Linked DNA regions of Callithrix jacchus. The protein of the gene in region 1 purifies or fractionates together with the protein of each later gene. This does not show direct contact. Links are inferred from orthologs where the notes say so. Each region holds a gene or a part of one and is shown in the gene's direction. Other genes may lie near its edges.

Region 1 (5,923 bases):
ATACCTCTTTAGGGGTATACACTCTTGCATTTGACAAATAGTCCCTGAGTATTTATGTGCCAAGTACTATGAGGTGTTGGGTATAAAGTAGTGAACAAAACAAGTATGGTTCTTGACTTCAGAGAGCTTGCTGTCTAGGGAGGAATGCAGATTTTAGATAAACAAATCAAATTATAAATTGCAGTTATTTCCTATTTATATTGCATCTCTCTCAGTTGGTAACTAATCACAGCCCTTTTCTAGGAGTCTTCTGCCTGTAGCTGGAGACATGAAGACATATAACAGATACTTCTATAAACTTCATCATGAACGCTACCATGAAATTTATTCCAAGTACAAAATATTCATCTATTGACATGTTCACAAGATAACTTTTATTCATAAGGTGGGAATTCACTGGTAATTTGTTTTCTTGAACACTGCTTATGATAAAATCTATGATGGAACATAATACACATACATTCCAGCTTTTCAAGAGAATGTTCTTATCCTAAACTCATTTTGAAAAACATTAGTGCTCTGGTTTGTAAATACAATGTTACTTCAATTAAATGAGTCTTTGAGGAGTAACAGTTTCTAATGGAATGTCATTTGTATTTAAGATCTGTACTGAATTTATATTCAAGTCAACCTTCAGTGTGAGTTATTTCCAGGCACAGCTTGTTTGCCACAGCCCAGCTGATGGCATATAAAGTACTGAGGACTTTAAAGTTTCCACTCTGCTTCCTAAGTTTTTACCTTCCTTTCCCCCACTACAATATCCTCTCCAAAGTGATTCCTAAAGTACTCCAGCTCTTTTCATTGCCTCTCCCCCAAAGGAAACTCAGTTGTTTATATGTGTTAAACCCACTGACTTCTTCCATTTTAATTTTAAAATCCCCTCTTTAGGCTTAAAAAGTGTTTCCTTAAGGAACATCTGCATTTTAAACATTTATCTCTGCACGTTGTTCTACTTAATACTAGAAAGGACCGGGAGTCAAAGATTCTGAAGGAGTTTGTATCAGGCTGTCTTCTCCCTATCTCGCCAAGTTTAAACACGCGCAACGCCTCGATTCCTTGCTTCCAACCTGAATAGCTTCTTTACCTCTCTCTGTACATTTGAGGTGTTATTCGTTGATATTTAAATATATTTTAAAATAATTTTCCATTTCTGTTTTCTGACATTTTTGAATACGTTCTTTCGTATTTCATGTCATTTCTGCCTCTGCTAACGATGTCCCTGGTATCCTTGGAGTGCATTACCTTTTTCAACAGTCACAATATTCCCTGTCAGCTGCCACGGGCCCCGCCCTCCAGAAGTTCATACTTTGTGGTCAAGCAGCTTCTTTAACTTTCTAAGAGGAATTATCTAGGAAGTGCTATTGTCCCAGAATCACCAGCTCTTCTAAATTCCTACCTGCTGCGGGCGCTTAGTCAGAGAAGATGAATCAGATTCGTCTAATGGGCCCCTCTCCTTTTCCAGCCACCGTCCGTGTAGCTTTCCGCTGAGCCTCCTCAACTCGAGTCATCCCAGCAGGTCCCGGCCCCGATACCCGCCCAGGACGGCAGGGAGCCCCTGCCCGGGAACGGAGCTGCGAGTGTCCGACTGAAGAGAGAGCGAAGCTCAGATCTACCTCTGCAAAGCGAACGAAGAGAGCAAGGAATGCCCAGGAAGACAGGGCACGCCCAGGGAGAAAAGAACGTTACTTTAACGCGGCGTCGACCCTGGATCCCTGGCATCTAGGGCTGCCCGGCCACGTGGATCAAAACAACTCGCCCTGCCGCGTTCCCGGGCCTCTCCTTCCTTTTGCCGGCTTCCCCTAAAGTCTACTTCTCCGTCGCTTCCTCCCCGCCTCTCCGAAGGCACGTGGTCCTTCCCGGCCTGCCCCCGCCGCACCCCTCCAGGCCGGTAGCCGGCTCCTCCTAGCTTCGTTCGCTTCCCCTTTCTGTTTGCTCTTTCCGCCTCGGCTCTCCATCGCCCCTTCTGATTGGCCGAACGCACCGAAGCCTGGTTGGCCAATGGGAGAGCTGGGCTGGAGGCAATGGGCGTGGCCGCAGCGCCGGGGCCCTCAGAGCGAGGCTTCCTCCCCCTCTCAGCCGGCAGCACATTCCGCCGCCGTTGCCGCCGCCCGGCCCCACAGTTGTCTTTGCCGGAGCTGCAGTCGCGCTGGGGTTAGGGCGGGGGGGCGGGCGGGGAGAGGAGAAGGCCGCGGCGGAGGCAGGTGAGAGGAGGAAGGAAGCGGCGGCGCGGCGGGCACAGCAGTTCAGGCGGCGGCCCGGTTCCTGGGAGTGTCGGTGCGGCGCGGTGGTTGGGGCGGATCCCGCGGGGCCCGGGCGGGGGAAGGAGTCACCGGCCCGGCCATGGCGGACAACGAGAAACTGGACAACCAACGGCTCAAGAATTTCAAGAACAAAGGCCGCGACTTGGAGGTAAACTCGGGGACGACGCCGGAGGGGTGGGGGCCGTGGGCCTGGGGCCGGTCCCCGCCGGGACCCCGCGTGTGGGGAGTAGGGGCGGGAGCCGCCTCCGGGCCTCGGGGAATGGCGCTGGGGGCCGGCCCGTCCGTGACGCCTCTCCTAACGCGCCGGGAAGTTTATGTTGGGCCTGCTACGCCTCTGCCTGGAAGCGAGGTGCCCGGGTACGGCCGACGCGGCCTAGGCCTGCCCGGCGGAGCCGGCCCGAAGCGGGTGCGAGGGGCCGGGCCGCGCCGCGCGGCGGGGAGGCCGGGCGCGGCGCGGCGCGTGCGGAGGTGGCTTGCGTGTGCGGCCGGCGCTGCTTCAGCCGGGCCGCGGCCCCCTCCCTGCAGCGGCGGAGATTCCTGCTCTCGCTAGGGCACCGACGTCTGGCGCCGCGGGAAGGAGGGCGGTGGGGTGGGAGGGTGAGCGTGTGGCTACCGAGTGGGGCTCTGAACTTCCTCAGCGAGGCCCGAGGCGTCTCCACTTAAAGGCATTTTTTCTGGTCTTCCCGACTCCCGCTTTACCCCTGCCTCCCCCCAATATCCAAACTGCAGGAGTCAACTTCTCCGTTGAAAAAAACACCCCCGGCGTGAGAGGCCATCCTGGTGATGCTTACAGTGCCTTCCAGCGGCCTGTGTTTTACTCTGGATATAGCTGATTCAAGATGTGGCTCACGGTGTGCCCTCTTCCAGGCAAAGGATACCCCTTATTTCAGCTTGTCCACAAATCTCTTTACCCCCTCCTGAGAGGAGACCACCAGCTGCATTCTTACATATAAAGTCCAAAGGGTTATACAAAGCTGTCATCCTCTAGTCTACAGTATCCTTTCCCTCCACCTGCTGGTGGTGGTAGTGGGGGATGGGGTGGGCTAAGGAATGGCACCATCACGTTTGATTATTTAAAAAGAAAAAAAAAAAAAAACGCTTCATTGTCTTAGATACAGCTGCTCCCGAGATTCTCAGTCTACGTAAAGTGTATGGGTTAAACACACATGCACACAAGCATACCCACACACCCCACTGAAATTTTTGATAGAAGACTTCTTCCCTTCAGCTTTTAAGAGTTTAGGTAAATAGATTTTTTTAAAAAACTACTTCCTTTCTGCATCTTAATCACGAGTTTAGCTTTTAGGGAAAGTGGTCAAGCAGTATTTTTTTTGCCGTTCCTCGGTACATTTTCGTAGTGAAATCTTTAACTTCCCATGGCATGTTTCTCAACATGAGCATTTGCTTGACTAAAATATTTTTTGGGCTTTTCAGACACCTGTTAATATTATCTTGAAAGTAGTTTATGCTGTTTTAGTGGATTTCATAATTTGAGGGACTTCTAAGTGTCCAGGGCTGCTAATTCTGTGATTCTTTTAAGGTTAACATTATCGTTGTGATCCCTTTTTTTTTTAATGCAAAAGTATAACTTCTTTCTTGAGATAATTCACATACCATAAAAATTAGCTTCTTAAATAACAGTGATTTTCAGTAAATTTACTTGGTTACGAAAGAATGTGGTGAAAATGTTTTCTATTAATATGCGTATTTACTTAGAATGAGAAAAAATCACAAATGATGAAACTTAAAAACTGCTAAGTACCACAAAATTACAGAATCCAGAAAAATAGCAATTAGGTGCTTGGCAGATCCCTATAACCCTTTTTTCCTCTACATTTCTGGCTTCATTTTTCTAGCAGCTTCATTGAGATGTAATTCGCATATGATACAATTCACCCACCTAACGTGGCTTTTTAGTTTATTCATATAGTTTTGCAACCATCACCACAATCAATCTTAGAACATTATCACCACCCCAAAAAGAAACCTGTGCTCATTAACAGTCTGTCTCCAATTCCCAACTACCCCAGCCCAAGGCAACCAGTTTCTGTCTTTTTAGACTTGCTTATCCTGGACATTCTATATAAATGGGATTGTACAATTTGTACTTTTTTGTAACTGGTTCTTTCAGATAGTGTAATGTTTTCAAGCTGTATCCATGTTGTAACAAGAATGTATCAGTGTTTCATTTCTTCTTATGGCCGAATGATCCTCCAGCTTATGGATATACCACATTTTACTTATCCATTCATCAGTTAATGGACATTTTCATTGTTTCCACTTTTTTTTTTTTTAGCTATTTTACATGATACTGCTAAGAACATTTTTGTATGGACGTATGTTTTATTTCTCTTGGCTATATACCTAGGTATAGAATTGCTAGATCATTTGGAAACTTACGTTCAACCTTTTATGGAATTGCTAGGCTTTCTGGAGTTAACCTTATTTTTTAAATTGATGTTTCCTCTTACCGCATGTCTGTCAGCACTTTAGTCAAAATCAGATTAAGTGCCGAGTCTGTATTAGACAAATACTGTGATGTGTGACTTTTAAAAAATAAGTATATATTGACATCAGCCAGGTTTTTTTGTTTGTTTGTTTTTTTGTTTTTTAGAAATTCATAGTGCCTTATGGTTGTCCTCCAGTGACTTTGAAATCCTTGTGTGTACATTAGGAGTAGGAATATTTTCACTTTTCCATCTAAGGAGATAACATATGACTCTAATGGAAAGTCCTACATTGTCCACACTGTGACTTACTCAAAATCACGTACACTTGTAATGAGATAGAAGCATCCTTTTTTATACTTGGAGAGCACTATGGTGCTCTATTTTGTGTATTTGTTACTTACATATATGCCTGTATCTCTTTAAAAACTTATCATCCTTTAGGTATGGTTACTACATTGTGTTACATAATGTATGTAGAATAAGCAAATTCCAAGAAAATAATTGCTTTTGCATTTAGATCTCATGATGACATCTATTCCATGGGAGGTCTTTGGAAAGAAGTACAGACCAGTGCTGTCCAATGAATTTAACTTAATCCATTATATCCAAAATACCATTGCAACATCTAATTTGTGTAAAATAATTGACACGTTTTATATTATTCCTTTTATACTTCAAAATCCATAATTTTACAGTTATGGCATACCTCCACTTGGACTAGCTGCATTTCAAATGATTAATAGCCACATGTGGCTAGGGGCTGCCATATTGGAACAGCCCATGTACAGAGAACAGCATTTAGGGAGAGCTAATTGTAGCATATTTTGATCTAACAGTTTATTTGATTAGAAATGATGAAGAGTACAAAGTCCTAGAGTTTAGTTTAATCTGATCACTAACTTTGCATATGACCTTGGGGAAAATTGCTTAGTCTTATGGTTCTTTCATCTGTAAAACTAGAGGTACTTGACATCTGCTTCATGAGTGTTGTGAAGATTAATAGGTAATGTTAGGAAGATGCCTGGCAATTCTCTGAGTGTTTTATCACCTCCAAGCTTTTCTCTTTGTGGGGAGGGAAGGGATTTAATAGGATTCAGTATAATTGATTCTCTCACTCCCTTATTTGCAGTGGCTGTTTTTTCTCTCTGGTGTATAACTGGTTACATTGAACAATTAATAGGGAAAGGTTTTAATACAGAGAGATGTAATTAC
Region 2 (6,135 bases), on another chromosome or scaffold:
CAAGGAGTTTCAAAGTTTTCTCCATTCTTTCTATCATTTATTTCTATTTCGTTAAGTTTGTTCATCCTTATTTTTTTCTTCTACTTTTCCAGGTTTATTCTGTCGTTTCTTTATGGTTTCTTGAACTGGACGTTCAGCTTGATGACTGCATCCCTGTACTTCAGCATCACACACCCAATCTTCACTTTCACACCACTGGGCACCCCAAGCTTAATATGGCCAAAGCAGAACTCTTGAGCTACACATCTGAAAATGTACTCTTTCTGTAGTTCTCCCCACCATGGTGAAAGGCACCCTTATTCCTCCAGGTGCTCAGGCCCCAATCTCAGGTGTCATCCTTGTTTCTTCTCTTTCTCTGTGCCTTGCATCCAATCCTTTTGTTCAATTTTGAAAATATATCTTGAATCTCACAAGTTCTCAGAGGTACACTGCTACCACTGTAGTTAAAGCCACCATCATCTCTCTCTCCTAGACTGTTCCAGGGCCTTGCAACTAGCCTTGTACCATAGTTCTGTCACATCACATCCAGTTCTCCACTCTACACCTGCAACATAGATCAGAGGATGTCAGCTCCCGGCTCAAAATCCTCTGAGGGTTTCTCACGTTAGAATACACTGTCGGTTCTGGCTGGGAGGGCAAAGCAGGCAGATCACTTGAACTCAGAAGTTTGAGACCAGTCTGGGCAACATAGTGAAACTCTATCTCTCCCCAAAATACAAAAACTTAGCCAGGTGTGGTGGTGCGCATCTGTGGTCCCAGCTACTTAGGATGCTGAGGAGGGAGGATTGCTTTGAGCTTGGGGTGGATGTTTACAATGAGCCAAGATTGCACCACTGCACTGCAGCCTGAGCAACAGAATGAGCCCCCATCTCAAAAAAAAAAAAAAAAAAAAAAAAAGAATAAACTCCCAATTCTCATAGTGGCCCCGGCTGCCTCTCCAATCACATTCCCTACCACTTTCCAGCAACATTGACCTCCTTGTTAGTCCCCAACATGCCAGGCATAGTCTCTCCTCATGGCCTTTGAACTTGCCTGGAATGTTCTTTCCCCAGATATTCATAAGGGGGAGGAAAATGAGGGTGAAAACCAGTAGCTATCTAAACAGCATTCCCTTCACTCTTACTTTCTTTCTTGAAGCCTTTATCACTATGTGAAATTACATATTAGACTTATTTGTATGCTAGTATGACTCTCCCGGCAAGAATGTTAGTCTGCTGTCTGTTCAGTACTGTGCACCCAGAACCTGGAAGAGTGCCTGGCACATAGCAGGTAGTCAATAAATGAATGGGGGCAGGCAGCCAAATCAGAACCAGGTTTTCTTGCTAAGCACAGAACTAACACAAAGATCATTGCATGGATTGGATAATGACTGGCACCAGGGTAAGGTCCCCTTAACAAACATCCCTGTCCTGAACGCCTGGTTGGCTAACACTTTTTCTATACTCTTATTTTCCCAAAACACAGTTGCTGGATCTCAACTGCAAATCAACTCTTCTAGGAAAGTGAAAAACTGCTGGATCTCAGCTCCCAAATCACATCTTCCAGGAAGACCTAAGTGCAGCTTTCTCTGCGCTCCTTATTCACACCTCCACCAAACCATCTGATCCAACAATGACAGGTGTCACGAGGCCTTGGCATGCACTCTCTTCCCCCGCCAGAGTTCTGCGAAGGCCAGGGTTGGGATTTGTCGTCAGTTTATTCCCCGCCCCTATGAGCGTAAGCACCCGGCAGGCTCAGATGAAATAATGCAACGAGTAGGCCTCTGAAACCAAGGCCCCTCAGCTGGAGCAACGTCAGGCTCCAGGGCGGACAACTTTGCTGCTTCTGCTGAAGATGGTGATATTGAGAAAATGCGGGTGCAATGCAACCCTTTTGCAGCGCACTCGATGCATCTGCGGACAGAGGGTTTGCTTGGGACGCAAACAACGTCCCAAGCCTACACCTTCACTTGCCCCAGCATCCGCAAGGGCCCATTAATCCTTAACATTCAAATTCCGCCCACTAAACCCCTCCGCGCCCAAGCCGCCTCTTTTCCCCAAACGACGGCCGAAAGCAGCCAATGAACAGCTAGAGGGGTCTGCCCTCTTTTCCCTGGCCGAAATGGACAGAAAATCTCGCCAATTGACGACATCACCGCTGAGACTCCCCGCCCCAACCCGGCCGCCCCAGCCAATGACGGGTGGGCTCGCAGCTGCGCCGGGGGCGGGGCGCGGGCGCGCAGGTGCAGCAGCGCGCGGGCCGGCCGGGAGGGCGGGGCGCGACGTCGGCCGTGCGGGGTCCCGGCGTCGGCGGCGCGCGCGCTCCCTCCTCTCGGAGAGAGGGCTGTGGTAAAAGCCGTCCGGAAAATGGCCGCCGCCGCCGCCGCGCCGAGCGGAGGAGGAGGAGGAGGCGAGGAGGAGAGACTGTGAGTGGGACCGCCGTGGCCGCGGGCGGGGACCCTTGCTGGGGGGCGGGGGACAGGGGCGGGACGTGGCGCGGGAGGGGCCCGCGGGGTCGGACGACACGGCTGGCGGATGGCGTCCCTCCTCTGTACCCTCCCCCTCCCTCCGCCGGTGGCGACTCTCCCCCTCGGCCCGTCACCCGTGCTCGCGGGTGACCGTCCTCGGCGCGGCCTCCCCGGAGCCTCCTTCGCCTGGCGCACCTCTTTCTCCCGCCCTCTGCGCGCATCCCGGCCCCCGGCCCCCGGCCCCGCGGGCGCCGCTGTCGCCGGGGCTTCGCCTGTCGGGGCTGCGCGCGCTCCTGCCCTTTTCGGGGCTTTGGGCCGCGGCGTCGTCGCGCGCCCGCGGCCCCGGTCTCTCCCTGGATCGCGCTCTCCCCTCTCCCTCCCTCGCGCGCCCCCTCTCCCGTTACTCGGCCCCCCCACCGGCGCGCGTGCGCACTTCGCCTCCCGTCGGGAGAGTGCGCCACAAGGGCTCCTGCGCTCTCACCCCCATCTCCGGGCTTTGCCTCCCCCTCCTTCTCGCCCATTCCATGAATTTCTGCCCCCACTGCGAGCGAGTCGGTCCGCCGGCTCCTTTCCCCATCTAGCAGGAACAAGTAGGTGGGGATTATTGTCCACAAAAGGGACTAGACATTGTGTTCTGGGTCCCACAACTCATCATAAAGGGGTGGTTATAGTTCCCATCAGGAGCCGTGGGTAGGGTGCTGTGCGTCCAGCAGCACCCGAGGCTCTTCGGCGCCTGAGGCTCTTAGGTGTGAGCGTGTCCTCAGGGTGCTCAGAGGTTCTTTGGGGGTGCTGTGGCCTCGGAATGTGAGCACCCTCCCATCCTACCCCCCCTTCGCCGGCGATCTTCCAGTTACATAAGTGGAGTGGGACATAGTAGGTAACGGGCTCTCATCGCCCTGGAGCGCTCCGGATCACCGGTACGAGATGGGGCAAGTTTATCGCGACGCTGTGGCTACTGTTCATTGTGCCCGAAAGGTTATTCTCTGTTGAGTTTGGTTATGACCGAATCACCCAAACTGAAACTCAGATGACTTTTGTGTGGCAGTGGCAATGTTTCTGTGGTTTTGCACTAAAGACTTAGGGTCATTATGAAGAGTTTAAAAGGATTGCTCTCGAAGGGGAGACCGTTTATGACATTGATAAGTATGGACCCCGAGGGGGAAAAAGCTCATTCTGGAATTGCTCTGTGGGGGTTGCTTCTGTTGTGAGTGTGTTCGGGTGTGGGTTGGTCACAGCAGAAATGGGCTCCACCACAAAATTGATATTCCTGACTCATGGTCAGGCAGATGTGTGCTTCTGGTTATTTTTCCAGGAACAAGAATGGGCTCTGCCGAGCCTTTCACAGGTTGTCTGTATGCTGTGTGGGATCAGTACCCCAAACTGTTGAGATAACAGGATCGAATTCAGGGCTTGGTTGGTAATCGAGGAACCAAACCTACTTGGATCTGGTATTGAGTGGCCTGAACATTGAAGGGCTCTTCTAAGTTATAGGCATTTTGTTATACTGTAAAAATGAAGTATATACGGCCTCGGTAGTATCATTGCAGTCATAGATAATTATCACTCTAGAGAATTTTGGATTCCGTGCCTGGGATGTTCATCTGTGTCTCAGCAATTTCAGTTAATAACCAGAGTCAGCTGACCTCTTGGGTCTTTTGAAATATGCTAGGTCCCTATAATAAGACAGGGTCTGGATTTTTTCATCTTTTGGGAATTTCCACCAAGGATTTAGGAAAATAGGCTTATTTATGGGCTTTTCAGGATTTCTGTTTCAAATCCCAGTCAGGAGTCTAGGAAACACTTGCTTTTATTTTCTTACCTGGATATGTCAGAACCTTAAATAACACAGTCAATCTAGAAGTAGTAAGTACGGTTATTAAAATAAGTCACCAGAGGTCACCCATTCGTGGCAGGTCAGCTAGGTGGCTGATCACTGGAATACAGTCACATCCCCAGGCAGACACACAAGCCTCACTTGATGATCACAGAGTTTGTACATCTCAGCTTGAGACATGACAAGTTAAGGTCTCTGCTTTGTTCTTCATAGTTGGCAGTTTGTCTCCCTGGTACCCCTCCAGTTAGCTGTTTGTCACACGCCTAGCCCTTTCAACAGCACAGGCAGCTTCCAGAGTATAGTTTTCTCTGCAGGGTGCCTGTTGGAGGGGTACCTCCCTTTCCATTGTCCTAACGGCTTGAAGAAAATGTCGAAGGCTTTCTTGTTAGCACTGGCCTATCAAACCTTTCTATTGCCTGTTATTAAAATTTTGCCTGGAATACTTTAGAGTACCGGGTCTTTGTTTCACCTGATTGGTAGGAGAGTATCATGCAGTCAGCCGTATTCTGACTTTTGTGCTGTTGAAATCCTGAGGTAGGTCTGGGGCCAGGCACAGACCACTGTGTGTTCAAAGAGTTAGGGTGCTTGCATTCTGTGTGTATGTGTTTGTGATTTCCAACGAGTCATTTCCCGTGCCTGCCCTGCCTCTGTGCAGTCTCATCTATCGGGGCAGGGAGGCATGCTGTGGAGTTTGGGAAAAAAAAAAAAAAAAAACTGGCTAGATGAATTTAGGATGTTGTCCCTCCAGAACATTCCTCCCATGTGGAGATGGAACGAGAAGTTCATTTCTTTAACCTTACTGGAGCCCGGTTTCCACTGCAAATGTGCCTGCTTGGAACTCTGCATGATAAATGACGTGTCCTGGAACCTGAAATCTTTTACTAAGGCTAATATCAGCAGAAATCTTTTAATTAGCTAAGAGCAGTTTGTTCTCAGAATGCCCAAGTTATCTCGGAGGAGGAGAGAATCTCCGAAAATGTTTGGTATTACTAGTAACCAGTGTTTTCAGTGTGGGGGGTAAAGCACAGTCCTAGACTGGCCAGTTCCAAAGAGTGTGGCAGGACACCTGCTTGTTTTCCTGCCCTCTGCTCTGGTGACATCCATGCAGCCCAGTCTCTCGTGGCTGGCAGACGTGATCCTTTCTGCTTGGATAGAGCATGATCACAACTGCGATGGAAGGGCCTTGTCCTCGGTGCTTCCATACTAGCCCTGGTCATTGAAACTCCTGCTGTCCCAGCAAGCCCCTGTGCGTGTGCATCATTCGGGTAGGACAAGATGTGAACAGGTCCCTTTTCTTTCGGCTTGCTTAAGTAGAAGTTATGCTCTTCTGCTTTTACCTGTTCTCTTCTGCCTTTCTCTTGCGAAAAACCTTTTCCTGTCAAAAGCTTGGTTTGCCTGCTATTGCTTAAATACTTTGGTTCCACCACTTTGATGCTATGTATGGTGTGTGGGATAACTGAGTGGGAGCCAGAATTGTGGGGTGGTCAGGGCATCCTCACTCCCACATTAGAGGGGGAATGACTGTTTCATTAGAGAATAAAGCCTGATATAACTTCTTTAAGGCATATGTATGCTGGGTCTGTTGGCGTGTGAATGTGTCCCTACTGTGGTGTCTGGCTGTTTTGCAGTTACTGTAGATACTGTAGTCTGGGCTCTCATTATTGCTCCTGAAGCTAACAGGACCAAGCCTTAGTAAGGACGCACTTGTCTTCCTTGCCTAAGAGCTAGGGGTGTTGTGTTTGTGTGTGTGTGTGTGTGTGTGTGTGTGCGCGCGCATTTTCTTTATTAGATTTCACCAACTGCTCTATTTTCTGACTCTTTTTGACATGAAATCTTAATCAATGATCTTAAACTT

Evidence for each region.
Region 2: the proteins of KPNA4 (region 1) and MECP2 purify together in Homo sapiens (affinity purification with mass spectrometry; 3 studies listed by BioGRID and IntAct, counting the BioPlex papers as one, with this or other methods). This does not show direct contact. The link is inferred for Callithrix jacchus from reciprocal best matches to the Homo sapiens genes KPNA4 and MECP2.

The regions. Positions count from the first base shown.
Region 1 is NC_133518.1:24,741,508-24,747,430, forward strand, and holds the start of KPNA4 (importin subunit alpha-3), read left to right. Parts: upstream 1-2,050; 5' UTR 2,051-2,340; coding exon of another isoform or gene 2,341-2,409; intron 2,410-2,990; 5' UTR 2,991-3,044; coding exon 3,045-3,128; exon of another isoform or gene 3,129-3,504; intron 3,505-5,923. UniProt on the Homo sapiens protein: Functions in nuclear protein import as an adapter protein for nuclear receptor KPNB1. Binds specifically and directly to substrates containing either a simple or bipartite NLS motif.
Region 2 is NC_133524.1:150,007,474-150,013,608, reverse strand, and holds the start of MECP2 (methyl-CpG-binding protein 2), read left to right. Parts: upstream 1-2,312; 5' UTR 2,313-2,345; coding exon 2,346-2,404; intron 2,405-2,875; exon of another isoform or gene 2,876-3,036; intron 3,037-6,135. UniProt on the Homo sapiens protein: Chromosomal protein that binds to methylated DNA. It can bind specifically to a single methyl-CpG pair. It is not influenced by sequences flanking the methyl-CpGs.